3 linked regions of the Diceros bicornis minor genome follow. The protein of the gene in region 3 interacts with the protein of the main gene of each other region in a biochemical or structural test. Links are inferred from orthologs where the notes say so. Each region holds a gene or a part of one and is shown on either strand. Other genes may lie near its edges.

Region 1 (3,742 bases), on a different chromosome or scaffold from region 3:
TTGTGTGCATTCAGAGCGGAGTACTGTAGATGCTCCACAAACGGCAGCTCTTTCTCCATTCATTTCATCTCCCCTCTGCCCCATAGCATGCTAGGGATACAGCGATGGACAGAGCCAAGTCGTGTTTACCCCCGAGGTCCGGTCTCCTCTGGCCCCCTGCCCCAACCCCTTTCTCAGCACAATTCCTGGCTCACAGTAGAGGCTCAATACATGTATGTAGAATGAACGAATGAAATTAGGCCTCATGTGACACAGGGCTACATGTACCCAGCTGAAAACTGGAGCTAAACCAGACCTTCGGTTGGTTGAAAAATTAAAATAAATTTTAGGAAGTGGGCGAGAAATAATCCAGAAGTTGGAAGGCCTGGACAAAGGCTGGGGCGGGGGCTCCTCCTGCCAAGCGGCCTCAGGGTCCAGTTAGCGAGCTAAGGAGAGCTGGTGAGAGCTCTGGGGCCCCGGCTGTCAAGTTACTTGCAGCTCAAGCGATCCAAGAGGCGGCATATCAGCTCGGCCCGGGCCTGGAGCGGTCCCGCCGCGGCCTTTAAAGGCCCACCACGTGGCCGCGCTGCCGGCCACGGTCCGGAGGCGGAGTCCCCGCTGCGCCTGCGCACTGCCTATCAGAGGGATCCGGAGTTCCGAGAAAAGGCGCCGGGAGAGGAAGGGAAGGTTGCTGAGGGTGGGCGGCCGTGGGAGGAGTCGGCTTCTTATGCAAATCACAGAAGAGAGCGAGGGCTAGGGGCGGGGCTTTCGATGCAAAGCCGGGTACGCCTCAGGAAGCGCGAGGGGGCGGGCCCCGCAACCCTCGGCCTCTTTCCGCGAGTCTCTGACGTCGCCGACGTCCCGTTTAAAAGCGGCCGCGCAGGCGCAGTGGGCCGAAATGCGAACTTAGGCTGTTACACAACTGCTGGGGTCTGCTCTCTCCGCCTGCCAGGCAGTCAGTCAGCGCCGCCGCCACCGCCGCCGCCTCAGCCGTTCCGGGAATCTCGGGCCCGCCGCCGCCGCCGCTTACCCACGCCTCCGGGAGCCTCCCGGAGCCCCCGTCCGCCTGCACAGGCCGGTCCCGACCGTCCGCATCCCGTCGGCGCCCCTCGCCGCCCGGCGCGCTCGCCGCTCCGGCCGACATGAGCGGGGACCATCTCCACAACGATTCTCAGGTACGGCCCGGCCCGGCCCAGGCTCCCGACCCCCGGCGCAGGCCCTGGCCCCGGCGCCGGCCCGGCCGCTTTGACAGGCCGGAGCCCCCGGCCGGAGGCGGCCGGCCGGAGGAGATCGGCTCGCTGGACCCCAGGCGAAAGCCGCCAAGTTACAATTCGGGGGGCTGGCTGCCCCCTCAGGCCGCCCGGGGGCCCCTTCATCCCTGGGGGCGCGGGGTGGGCTAGGCCCCCGGCCGCGCGCGCTCGCCGCCCGCGGGGCTCCTGTGCTTGTTGTTTCACATTCCCTCCTTTTCTCTCTCCAGATCGAAGGGGATTTCCGACTGAATGGTGAGTGTGCCCCCGACCCCGAGCCCCCCAGCCGCCGGCCGCCCACCCCGCGCCCTGCCCGAGCCGGGCAGAGGACAGACATGGCGTCCCAGAGACTAAGTCCCGGCTCCTCGCTCACCGGCCCCATTGTTCCCATCGGGCCGCCTCTGGACCCCCTTTCCGGGGACCCCAGCGCCCCCAGATCGCGGCCCTCCCCAGAGGGGGCAACGGAGACCCCGCGTCGCCCGCCGCCGGGCCTCGGGCGGCCTTTCCGGGCCCGGATTCCTCCCGGGAAAGTCGCCTTGTCGACAGTCGGGACTTAGTCTCTGCGCCATTTTCTTTTTCTCTCTCCTCTCCTTTCTGTGGCTGTCTTTCTCTCCCTCCCTCGGCTCCTTCCTCGAGCTGCCCAGAAAGAGCTTTCTGCCGAGCAGAGCCCTGTAAATCACAGACCTCACCCGGGAGGGAAGGGTGGGAGACTCAATTGTTACTGTTTTTCCCGAAGAGAACTTTATTTTGGGGGTTATTCCCTTTCTGCTTCTTGTTGGTTTCCTTTTCTGTTTCCAGAATGAAAGATACCCTTCGGCAAACTGTTGATTTTTTTTTTTTTTTTTTTTTTGGTAAGATGCTTATGATAGGAATTATGGCTCTAAAACGAAAGCCACCCTCTGTGGAGTTCTTCATATTTTGAGGTTGTTTTCCCCAAGTTGTGTTCTTTGCAAAGGTAGTTGTACCTCTCTTCAAAAAGTTTGCGAGTTCTGTATGGGCCATCCAGTGTAAATGTTGGAATGGGGCGTATTGATTTTTTTTTTTTAAATAAAAGTATTACTGACCAGAACTTTTCATGTTGCTGAGGTTCCTAAGGCAATGTTTTTTTAGAAACGCAGTTTAGTGTACTTGTCAGGAGGAAGGGTTGTTGAGCATCTCGTCTGGACCTGGTGTACTGGCGTTTTCTTTTGGGCTGTGGGGAAGGAAAAAAGATTTTATTTAATGAAACAAAGAGTGGCCAGCAGCCACCCCTGCTTCCTGTTCATTCTTTTTCAGAAGCCGCTGTTTTTCAGGAATAGAGAGCTAGCTTGCTTTTCCTGGATCTTTATGTCTTTGAACCCTTTTCAGCCAAATCAAGGCATTTATTCTTTGAGTATTTCCACTTCAGTTACCCAATGAAGATTCCCCCAATAAAAAGCTCACCCTGTGGGCTTTTCAACAATCCTGTTGAAGGAGAAGGTACCCTCTCTAGTGTGCTGGGAATTCCCACTGATTCTGATGGTACATAATCCTGCTCAATTGAGTTTGGGTTCCGGGAACGTCTCCAATGGGAGAAGCTGATGAGTAGGTTTTCTGATGTTGTAATCAGCAGTCCATCGTGTTAGCCTGCTCTACTGAGAGCGGCCTTATGTTCAGCTTTTGAAGTGGGGCATCCAGTGGGAGATGGTACTCTGTGAGGAAAGAATCTGGTTCAAGTGTAGCGTTTCTTGAGCACCTAGTATGTTATAAGCACTGTGCTTAGTGCTAGAGCTGAACCTTCTGCCACAACGCTGCTCATGTCTTCTATCTAGTCTATTGGGTGAGATGTAATTAGTTAATTATAAGGTAGGTACTGGGGTATATATATACCCAGAATGCTTTGGGAAACTAGGGGACTTAATTTTGTCTGGGGGTGGGGAAATTTCTCAGAAGGTGACTTCTGAGCTTGGTGTTGTGCAAGACTAGGTGCTGAGTGTCAGGGGTTGGAGTATTTCTTAACTGTGTTTAGCCAACCTATCAGGATTTTAAAAGAGGGAGATGAGGTCCTGCAGTTCAGAAAGCCAGCAAGAGTATAGATATGTTTCTTTGGGATGTGTGAGCAGAGAAATGATGTGGCAGGTGAGGAGGTAAGAAGTCCTTTTGACCTTTCTTGGAGGAAGGTAGGATCTTCATACAGAAAAAGTGTTCTTTTAACTTTCAAGCTGGGCTGAGTAGGTAATGTATTTAGTAATGAAACAAAGGTTAGTCCTTTCTCCTGGGAAAGTTAACCTCCATGGTTCTCAGCTAAATTATACAAAGGAACTATTGAGTATTTGAATGATTGTGGGCTGGGTAGGTTATTGATCTGTACGGCCACTTGTATAGAGACTAAGTAAACTGGCTATGTGGAGTTTTAGAATGTGTTTGTTTGCTTGTAATAGCAGTAATTACTAATATTTATTGAATGCTTACTCTCTACCAGAAAGGAATCTCAGCTCTTTCCATGGATCATCTAATTGAATCCTCGGAAGGACTCTTATGAATTAGGTTCTGTTATC
Region 2 (3,742 bases), on a different chromosome or scaffold from region 3:
TGGTCCAGCTGAGCTTTGAGTAGCATGCAACCATACCAAAAAACCCCAGAGGCAGATGGGAAGGAATAGGGACTCCCTTGGTGTTCCAATAGGCTTCGGACCATTCTGGAAGGATGCTACGAGATTGTTGGCCATGGTTGGCTCAGACTCGCCAGGGGCGGGGCTGGGAAAGGTAGTAATTTTCCTGTCTGGTACTGTTTCAATTAGTTTTTATCAAGATGTATCCTTGCATTCACAATTTAAGAAGAAAATGGAAAGAACTTGAAACAATGCAGGAGCATGCAGAGGAGAAAACACCTTTTTGTTGCCTGTCCATCTTTTTGTTGCACCTCCATCTCTCCCCATGTCACACTAGTGTGTTGTTCCCTGGCCTCCTGATGCAGGAGAGCTTTATCCTGTCCCTGCCGTGGATGGAGGGTGGGGGCCCTTCTTCCAACTGAGCCCACGGACACTGGAGCTTGTCACCCGCTAGCCATCTCCTCCCAGGGCAGGGATGGTGTGAGCCCCCAGTCCCCAGCGCTGGGCATGCACCCCTTCCTTCAGCAATTCCCAGGGTGCCCACTGGGAATGGTGCGCAGCCTGGGGGGCGCACAGTAGGTGTCCAGGCGCCGTTTCAGGCCCGAATGACTGCACGGATGACCCCAGCCGGGCTGGCAATTATTTGGTTCCTTCAAGCCCCCACCACCAGTGTGGCTGGCGGCATTGTGCCGGGGCAGGTGGCACGCTGTGCCCGGATAGGGGTGGGCGGCGGCGGGGAGCCCTCCCTGGGCGCGTCCCCGGGGCCCGCGGGCTGGGGGCGCCGGGCCGGGCGGAAGGAGGCCGTCCGCCCGCCCGCCCGCGCCGCTGGGGGCCGCCCGCGGGCCGCGCCGGCCAGAGCGCGCCGTGCACCCCGGGCCCCGCGCTGGCACACGCTCGGCGGCCGCGGCGGCGACACGAGCGGCGGCGGCGGCGGAGCCGGGCCGGGCGGGAGGAATGCGGAACCGGCGCGCGGGCTGAGGCCGCCCAGGATGGCGCAGGGGCGGCGGCGGCGGGCGGCCTGTGCGGGGCTCTAGCGCGGCGGGGCGGACGCTCCTAGCCCGGCCCCGGCCTCGCGGGCGGGCGGCATCGCGGCCATGGCCAAGGAGCGGCGGAGGGCCGTCCAGGAGCTGCTACAGCGGCCGGGGAACGGGTACTGTGCTGACTGCGGCGCCCCGGGTAGGTGCGGGCCGGGGGGGTGCGAGCCAGGTGGGTGCGGGGCCTGGCTGGGTGCGGGCTTGGGTGGGTGCGCCCAGGGTAGGTGCTGGTCTGGGTGGGTGCCGGCCTGGATGCTCGCCTCAGGGCCCGGGAGGGGTGCTGCGGCGCCTGCGTGGCTGGGGGTGCGGGCCGCGCTGCTTGGTCCCCGCTCGGGTGGGGCGCGGGCCCGGCGTGCACCTGCGGGGACCCGGACGTCGCCTGCCCTCGGCCCCAGGCCTGAGGCTGTGTCGCCTACCCTCCCCCCCAGGCTGCGTGTCTCGCTGTCACCCGGGGACCGCCGCCGCGTTGCGAAAGCCGGGGCTCCGCAAAGAAAGAGGAAATCGCGGCGGGCGACCGGCTGCAGGGGGAGAACGGTCGAGCCGGCCGGCGGGCTTCCGTGCGTGGGTGTGGGGTCCACCTGGCTCCCTGCCACTTGGAGGTGACGTCATGGGCCTCCCCCTGGAGCCACCCTCGTGCACCCAGCAGGAGGAGGAAGCCCCGGCCGCCTCCACGTGGACCCGGTGGGAGCGAGCTCCCCTCCCCCAGCCCCACGCCCAACTGCTCTGGGGCAGGTGGCTGGTTCAGGTGGGGCAGGGGGCAGGTGCGACTCGGAACAGGCACTCGGTCCACCTGCACTTCATCCTGCCGGCAGGCATCTCCTGGACTTTGCTCCCGGGTGGCCACTGCTCTGGGGTGATTTCCAAGGCGCTAGTGTCCTGGGGTGCTTCCTCTTCCTTCCTGGGGCAACTCGTCCTGCCTTGGCAGGAACAGGAAAGGCTGGGCTCTCAGACCAGCAGGACTCTGTTTCCCAGCAGGCAGCCCCTGGCTGGTCCTCTGCAGGTCGGGGCCTGGGGGGCCGTGGGGAGTGGGCAGGCACAGCCCCTAGAGGCTCACCTGTTCATGCCCCCACCCTGGAGGGTGGCCTAACTCAGGGGCTGTCCCCCAGGCACTCCAGAGGTCACTGGACACTCCACTGGGGGCTCCTAGTCTGAGCCCCTTAGAACAAACCTAGCACCATGGAGTGGCCGAGGCCCCCCAGAGAGGGAAGGTGGGAAGACACTGCATCTGTCCCAAGACACCTGTTTGAGATGCACAGCCTCTGGATACCCCCAAAATAGGACCCAGTCCCCAGCTCTGCCCTGTTGCCCACCCCCTGGGCTGGGAGGGGTCTCTGACAGCCCCAGGTCCTAGCAATCGTCTGGTTGGCCGCTTGAGTGTCCCAGAGAGGAGGCAATGACAGGCTTTTCTGGAAGCCGGGCAGGCTGAGACGGCCTTTCCCGCTCCCGCCTCGTGCACACAGGACAGCACTGGGCCCGCCCCGGCGGTGCGGTGGGGGCGGCAGTGCCATCGCTGCTGTGCGCTGCTTCTGCCAGCTGGGCTCACCCCAGACTCTCCCCACCCCCCTTTCCCAGACCTGTATTTCCACTTGTCCAGGAAAGCTGGCCATGCCAGGGCGAGGTCGGTGAGAACAGGTGGTCAGCACGGCCCGCTCTCAGGCTTGGCCTGGGGAGATGAGGGCCCTGACCCTCTCCTTCCTGGCCGCACTGCCCAGGAGCGGCTTCTTTGGACCAGAGCCTCCCTCCAGCCACTTCTGGGCCCCCCAGCCTCGCAGGAGGGAGAGGGGTCTTCCTTGGCATGGTGGGCCCTGCAGCTGCCATGCCCAGCCCACCCAGTGGGGCCAGGGGCCATTGCCCCGAGGCAGGCACGCTGGGCTCTGGAGCAGTCAGCTCTCGAGGAGCCCAGCTTTCCCTGGCCTTGGGCCAAGCCTCTCATTTTTCAGAATTGGCCCATGACATCAGCATCTTGCCTCCTCTGTCTGGTAGCCCTGTAGAGCAGGCGAGATGTGGGCAGTTGCCTCCATTTTACAGCTGGGGAGACTGAGGCCTTGAGAACTTGAGCTGTCTTAGGGGACTTGGTGCCTCAAAGGCAGACCAGGTCTCCTGACGCCAGCCCCAGCCCCAGCCCCGCCTGCTCTGCTGTGCCCGCTTCCGGCCTTCTGCCCTGCTCCACAGGGTCAGGAGATGAGACCTGCTGCCCTTCTTCCCCCTTGTGACCCCGTGCAATGCCGCCCATGGTCTCTGCTTCTCGGCTGAAGCCCATGTGGTCTGTGCATGTTCTGTGCCACTGTGGGGTGCCTCTGGGGCCTCCTGTCCCTGCTGTGGCCCAGATGGGTGACTGGGGGCCACGCTGGCATTGATGGGGGCAGCAGGAGGGATGGTGTGTCACATGGACTGGCTCATGGCTGCTCTTCCCGACCACAGCTAGCCAGGAGCAGGGCATCCTGGAGTGGGGTCCATGTGGCGTTGGCTCTGACAGCAGGGCACAGGATGGGCCTGGGCTGCCTCTAATCTCTAGGCCTGGGGTTTTTTGGAGTAGACATGGGAAGACCTGGCCAGCTGGCCATGTGAGGGCGGCTGGGAGGGAGGCAGTCTGGGGGGTCCCTGCATCTCCCACAGGACCTGCTCCCGATCCTCCCCATTATGTGCCCCAATGCGGACTCCCCGTCTCACAGTCTCCCAGAGGGGATATC
Region 3 (3,742 bases):
CCAGTCACCCAGTAAGTGTCCCCTGCGCCCCCATCCCGGAGTTCAAAATGGAAACCTCCTCAGGGGACTCTCCACAGATCACCAGAGCCTCCTCCCTGATGAGAGCGCCCCAGCGGGTACTCGTGGGTTTCCTATACACTCAGTCCCAGGAGTGTTCTAGTACGAATTGCAAAATAACTTGATTGCTCACAGGAATCCCCATGCGCCCTTGTTAAAATACAAAGTCCTGGGCCCCAACCCAGGCGTCTTTAATTGGAATCTCCAGAGGTGATTCTGAACATCAGCTCAGTTGGGGAAACATCGTCATAGGTGAAGGTATCCTGGTTTGTAGGAACAATGAGGTACCCGATGCCCAGGACGTATCCTAGGCAGGCTCTAAGCTGAAGAAAGTGCTCTGGGTTAAGTTTGGCATCAATTAAGTTTTGCCCGCAGTGACCCACCTGAACAATGCAAAGACAATCTTCTGTGCCTCCGCCATCGAGGAAACCTTTCCTTTGACTATTTGACCTACTCCTGGACCATCTGGTGACACAGACTTCGCGGCCACATTTTAATGGGTGCTTTAGTCCAAATAAAGAGGGAACTTGTGCATGGTCCAGGGCCTGGCTCTGTGGTCAGCCTGACCAAGTCCCTCTCCCCACCCCACAGATATATAACACCCTGCGACCGCCAGAAAGTTCTCTCTCCGAGCCTGTTCCCTATCGGGAGAAACATCTAGCGCACGAGATTAAATGTGATATCTGTGCACTGCTCATAGTAACTCGCACAAATGTACGCGACTGTCTTTATTAACCGCTCTCAGGAGGCAGCTTTAGGCACGTGGCCCAGGAGGGCATCACCCGCCGAGAGGGGGATTTTTCTGGCCTCTTTCGTTGGCGGGCGGGGCTCAGGAGGGCCCCCAACATGAACCTTGCGGTCCCTGAATTTCCAGAGGTCTCGGGCTCATCAGCAAGGAAACGGGGCGAACTCCTCTCTCCACGGCCGCCGGGAGGCTCAGCGAGGAGCACGCGCCAGAGGCGTGCGTTAGGCCTCCGACGAACTCAAAAGCCGTCCGAGTCGACAAGACCCGAACACATTCGGGAACCGGGGACCACGCGTATTCACCACTCGGGCTCGGGCACAAGCGGCGCCAAAAACGGCCGTATGACAGCGCAGGCGCCGCGAGCGCGGGCCGCGGAGGGGCAGCCGGGCACCGCGCGCCCACGGCCCAATCAGTGCCGGCCTTGCACAAAGCGAGTCCCGCCCCCAGGGCGCCGCCACCGAATCCCCTCCCCCTCCTTGCCTCCTAGGCCCGCCCACTCCCGCCCGCGCCCCGCCCCGCGCCGTTCTCGGGGAGAGGCTCGCGATTGGCTCATGGGATGGACGCGAACTCTGATTGGTCGATACGGAGTCACGAGGGCGCCGTCGTCGCCTTTCCAGAGGCGATTACTGGGCAGGCTCAGTCTTTCGCCTCAGTCTCGAGCTCTAGCTGGCAGCCAAGTGTACGTGCTCCGGGATCTTCAGTACCTGCGGCCGCCATCGACGTCGCTTAGGTTCCTGTGGGCTCGTCTGCGCCACTCGCCCGCCACACGCTCTGCCGTCCTAAGCCGCCATCATGGTGAAGCTTGCAAAGGTAAGAGGCCTTGCCCGCGCAAACACGGACGTCGAGGCCTGCTTTCTGAGGAGCGCGCGCGCGCGGCGCCGCGAGGAGGAGGGCCTGCGCGCCGTCTGAGGCGCGTTCGATGGCGCCATGCTGCGGCAAGTCTCGCGCGATTAGCGGGGAGGTCTCGCGGCTTTTGGCTCCTCGGTAGCGAGGTGAAGAGCTTCGGCAGGTGCCGCGGGTGGTGGATGGGGCGGAGAAAGACTCCGGGACGGAGCGCGGGGAGGGGGCGCTGGGCTTCAGGCCGAGGGATGAGGCCGAACTCCTGCGACGGGCGCGAGCGGGGCCCCGCCTCCTGACGCACGTGCCACGGCGCGGGGCCCGCCACGTGGGCCGCGCCGCGTGGGTCCCGCCGTCCGCGGAGGGAAGCGGGCCGTGGGGCGAGGAGCGGCGGGATGCTGCGGTCGGAGGCCCGGCGGCCTCCGGGCTCGCCACTCGGGCGCGGCGGGCGGGCCCGAGGGGGGCTCGGGAGGGAGGCCCCGCCGCGTGCCTCTGCGCGCACATGGTGGCCTGCGAGGTACCCCACGTGGCCCCGCCGGCCGAAGGGGCGGGGTTGTTACCCTGGGAAAGGAAAACCTCAGAAGGCCAAAGGTCGCTAGGGTACGGCGCGGTTTGGAAAAAAAAAAAGGTCTGAAAGATCGTCGCCCGAATTTGAATATAGATGAGAGCGGTGGAATAAGGGGCCAGAACCTATTTTAAGGTGGTTTTCGCCCCGGCTGAAGGGCTATGGGTTATTGGCTGTTACAAGTGTTCATTTGTAAGCTACCGAATATTTAAAAATTGTGCGGGTTGTAATGATTGATTCTGGAAGTGTAGTTTCAAAGACGGGTGTGCTTAATAAAGGCCAACAGCAAGAGGGAGATAATTTCCTTGAAGTTGGTTTTTCTTCCTATGGTTGGTTTTTGTAAAACCTGACGGAAAATGTGTGGGAGGTTGAGAATTCCCGTCCTAACGTTGATAGCAAGAGGTGGTTTATGATAATTTCGGTATCTAGTAGTATGAAAACTGGATCGTGAGAAAGGGAGATGACTGTATTTTACTGTGAAGAATGATGGCAAAGTATGAGTGGCGTGAAACGTTAGAGGTGTAGTGTGCTAATAAATGTGTGTCTTCTAGGCTGGTAAAAATCAAGGTGACTCCAAGAAAATGGCTCCTCCTCCGAAGGAGGTAGAAGAAGATAGTGAAGATGAGGAAATGTCAGAAGATGAAGAAGATGAGAGCAGTGGAGAAGAGGTAATTATTTGCAGCTTCATGCAGAATTTTGTTGAACTAAAAAATGAGCTAAACAGATGGTATTGGATGTCTGAAAATACTGGCAAAAATAAGATTATATTTGTTCATATATGATCTGTTATGATTGTTGCCCAAGCTCTTCACTGAAGTGTGGAGATACCATAAGGGTAAGTATTTGAGTGAATTTGAGAGAAAATATCTGGAGTCTACTCTTTATGTGCCCTCTGCAAGGCTTGGTGTGATGATGTATTAAATCATTATATTTTTTAGTCCTACATACTAGATGAGGAAACATCCTGGGCAGTTAACTGTCCGATAAGTGGCGGCCCTGAGCATTATATTCAGGTTTGAGGTTAGCCTGTGCTAGCCTCCTAGCAGGATTAATTGGTTTTTATTCCGTTGTATATGCGCTCTGTAACCCTAGTCATTGTACTAAATTATCTCTTGGTGTGGATTAAGGGTTACCACCTCCCTGTGTGTTCACATTGACTCTGTTTAGCACTCCTGACTATTGTTTGCTCACTCTGTAAAGACAACCACTACATTTGTGCTCAGATTGCTTGTTCAGAATTTAATAAAGGTTTTACTCTAACGCATTACCTGATAAGTTAGTAATCAAAAAAGTGGCTTTGAATGTGACTTAAATGTAGATGAATGATGGTTTTTACGAAGCTAACACGTTCACTTTGTATTGATTTTGCAAAGACTGACTGTCCTACTTCATACTCATTTTCTCTGGTCCCAAGAATGAGCTTTCAGTGAACTTGATACCACCACCTGCTGTAGGAGCCCTAAATGATTTAATAACACTTAACATGTAAAGCTTTCTATGTGCAAGCCTTTTATTTGGGTATATAAACTTATAATCAA

Evidence for each region.
Region 1: the proteins of NCL (region 3) and TOP1 form a complex in vitro, tested with the Homo sapiens proteins (2 studies listed by BioGRID and IntAct). The link is inferred for Diceros bicornis minor from reciprocal best matches to the Homo sapiens genes NCL and TOP1.
Region 2: the proteins of NCL (region 3) and ADAP1 form a complex in vitro, tested with the Homo sapiens proteins (2 studies listed by BioGRID). The link is inferred for Diceros bicornis minor from reciprocal best matches to the Homo sapiens genes NCL and ADAP1.

The regions. Positions count from the first base shown.
Region 1 is NC_080758.1:19,539,470-19,543,211, reverse strand, and holds the start of TOP1 (DNA topoisomerase 1), read left to right. Parts: upstream 1-903; 5' UTR 904-1,121; coding exon 1,122-1,154; intron 1,155-1,456; coding exon 1,457-1,481; intron 1,482-3,742. UniProt on the Homo sapiens protein: Releases the supercoiling and torsional tension of DNA introduced during the DNA replication and transcription by transiently cleaving and rejoining one strand of the DNA duplex.
Region 2 is NC_080765.1:13,550,924-13,554,665, forward strand, and holds the start of ADAP1 (arf-GAP with dual PH domain-containing protein 1), read left to right. Parts: upstream 1-1,008; 5' UTR 1,009-1,112; coding exon 1,113-1,194; intron 1,195-3,742. UniProt on the Homo sapiens protein: GTPase-activating protein for the ADP ribosylation factor family. Binds phosphatidylinositol 3,4,5-trisphosphate (PtdInsP3) and inositol 1,3,4,5-tetrakisphosphate (InsP4). Regulates the incorporation of CD63 and CD9 into multivesicular bodies.
Region 3 is NC_080776.1:19,896,010-19,899,751, reverse strand, and holds the start of NCL (nucleolin), read left to right. Parts: upstream 1-1,464; 5' UTR 1,465-1,594; coding exon 1,595-1,612; intron 1,613-2,755; coding exon 2,756-2,872; intron 2,873-3,742. UniProt on the Homo sapiens protein: Nucleolin is the major nucleolar protein of growing eukaryotic cells. It is found associated with intranucleolar chromatin and pre-ribosomal particles. It induces chromatin decondensation by binding to histone H1.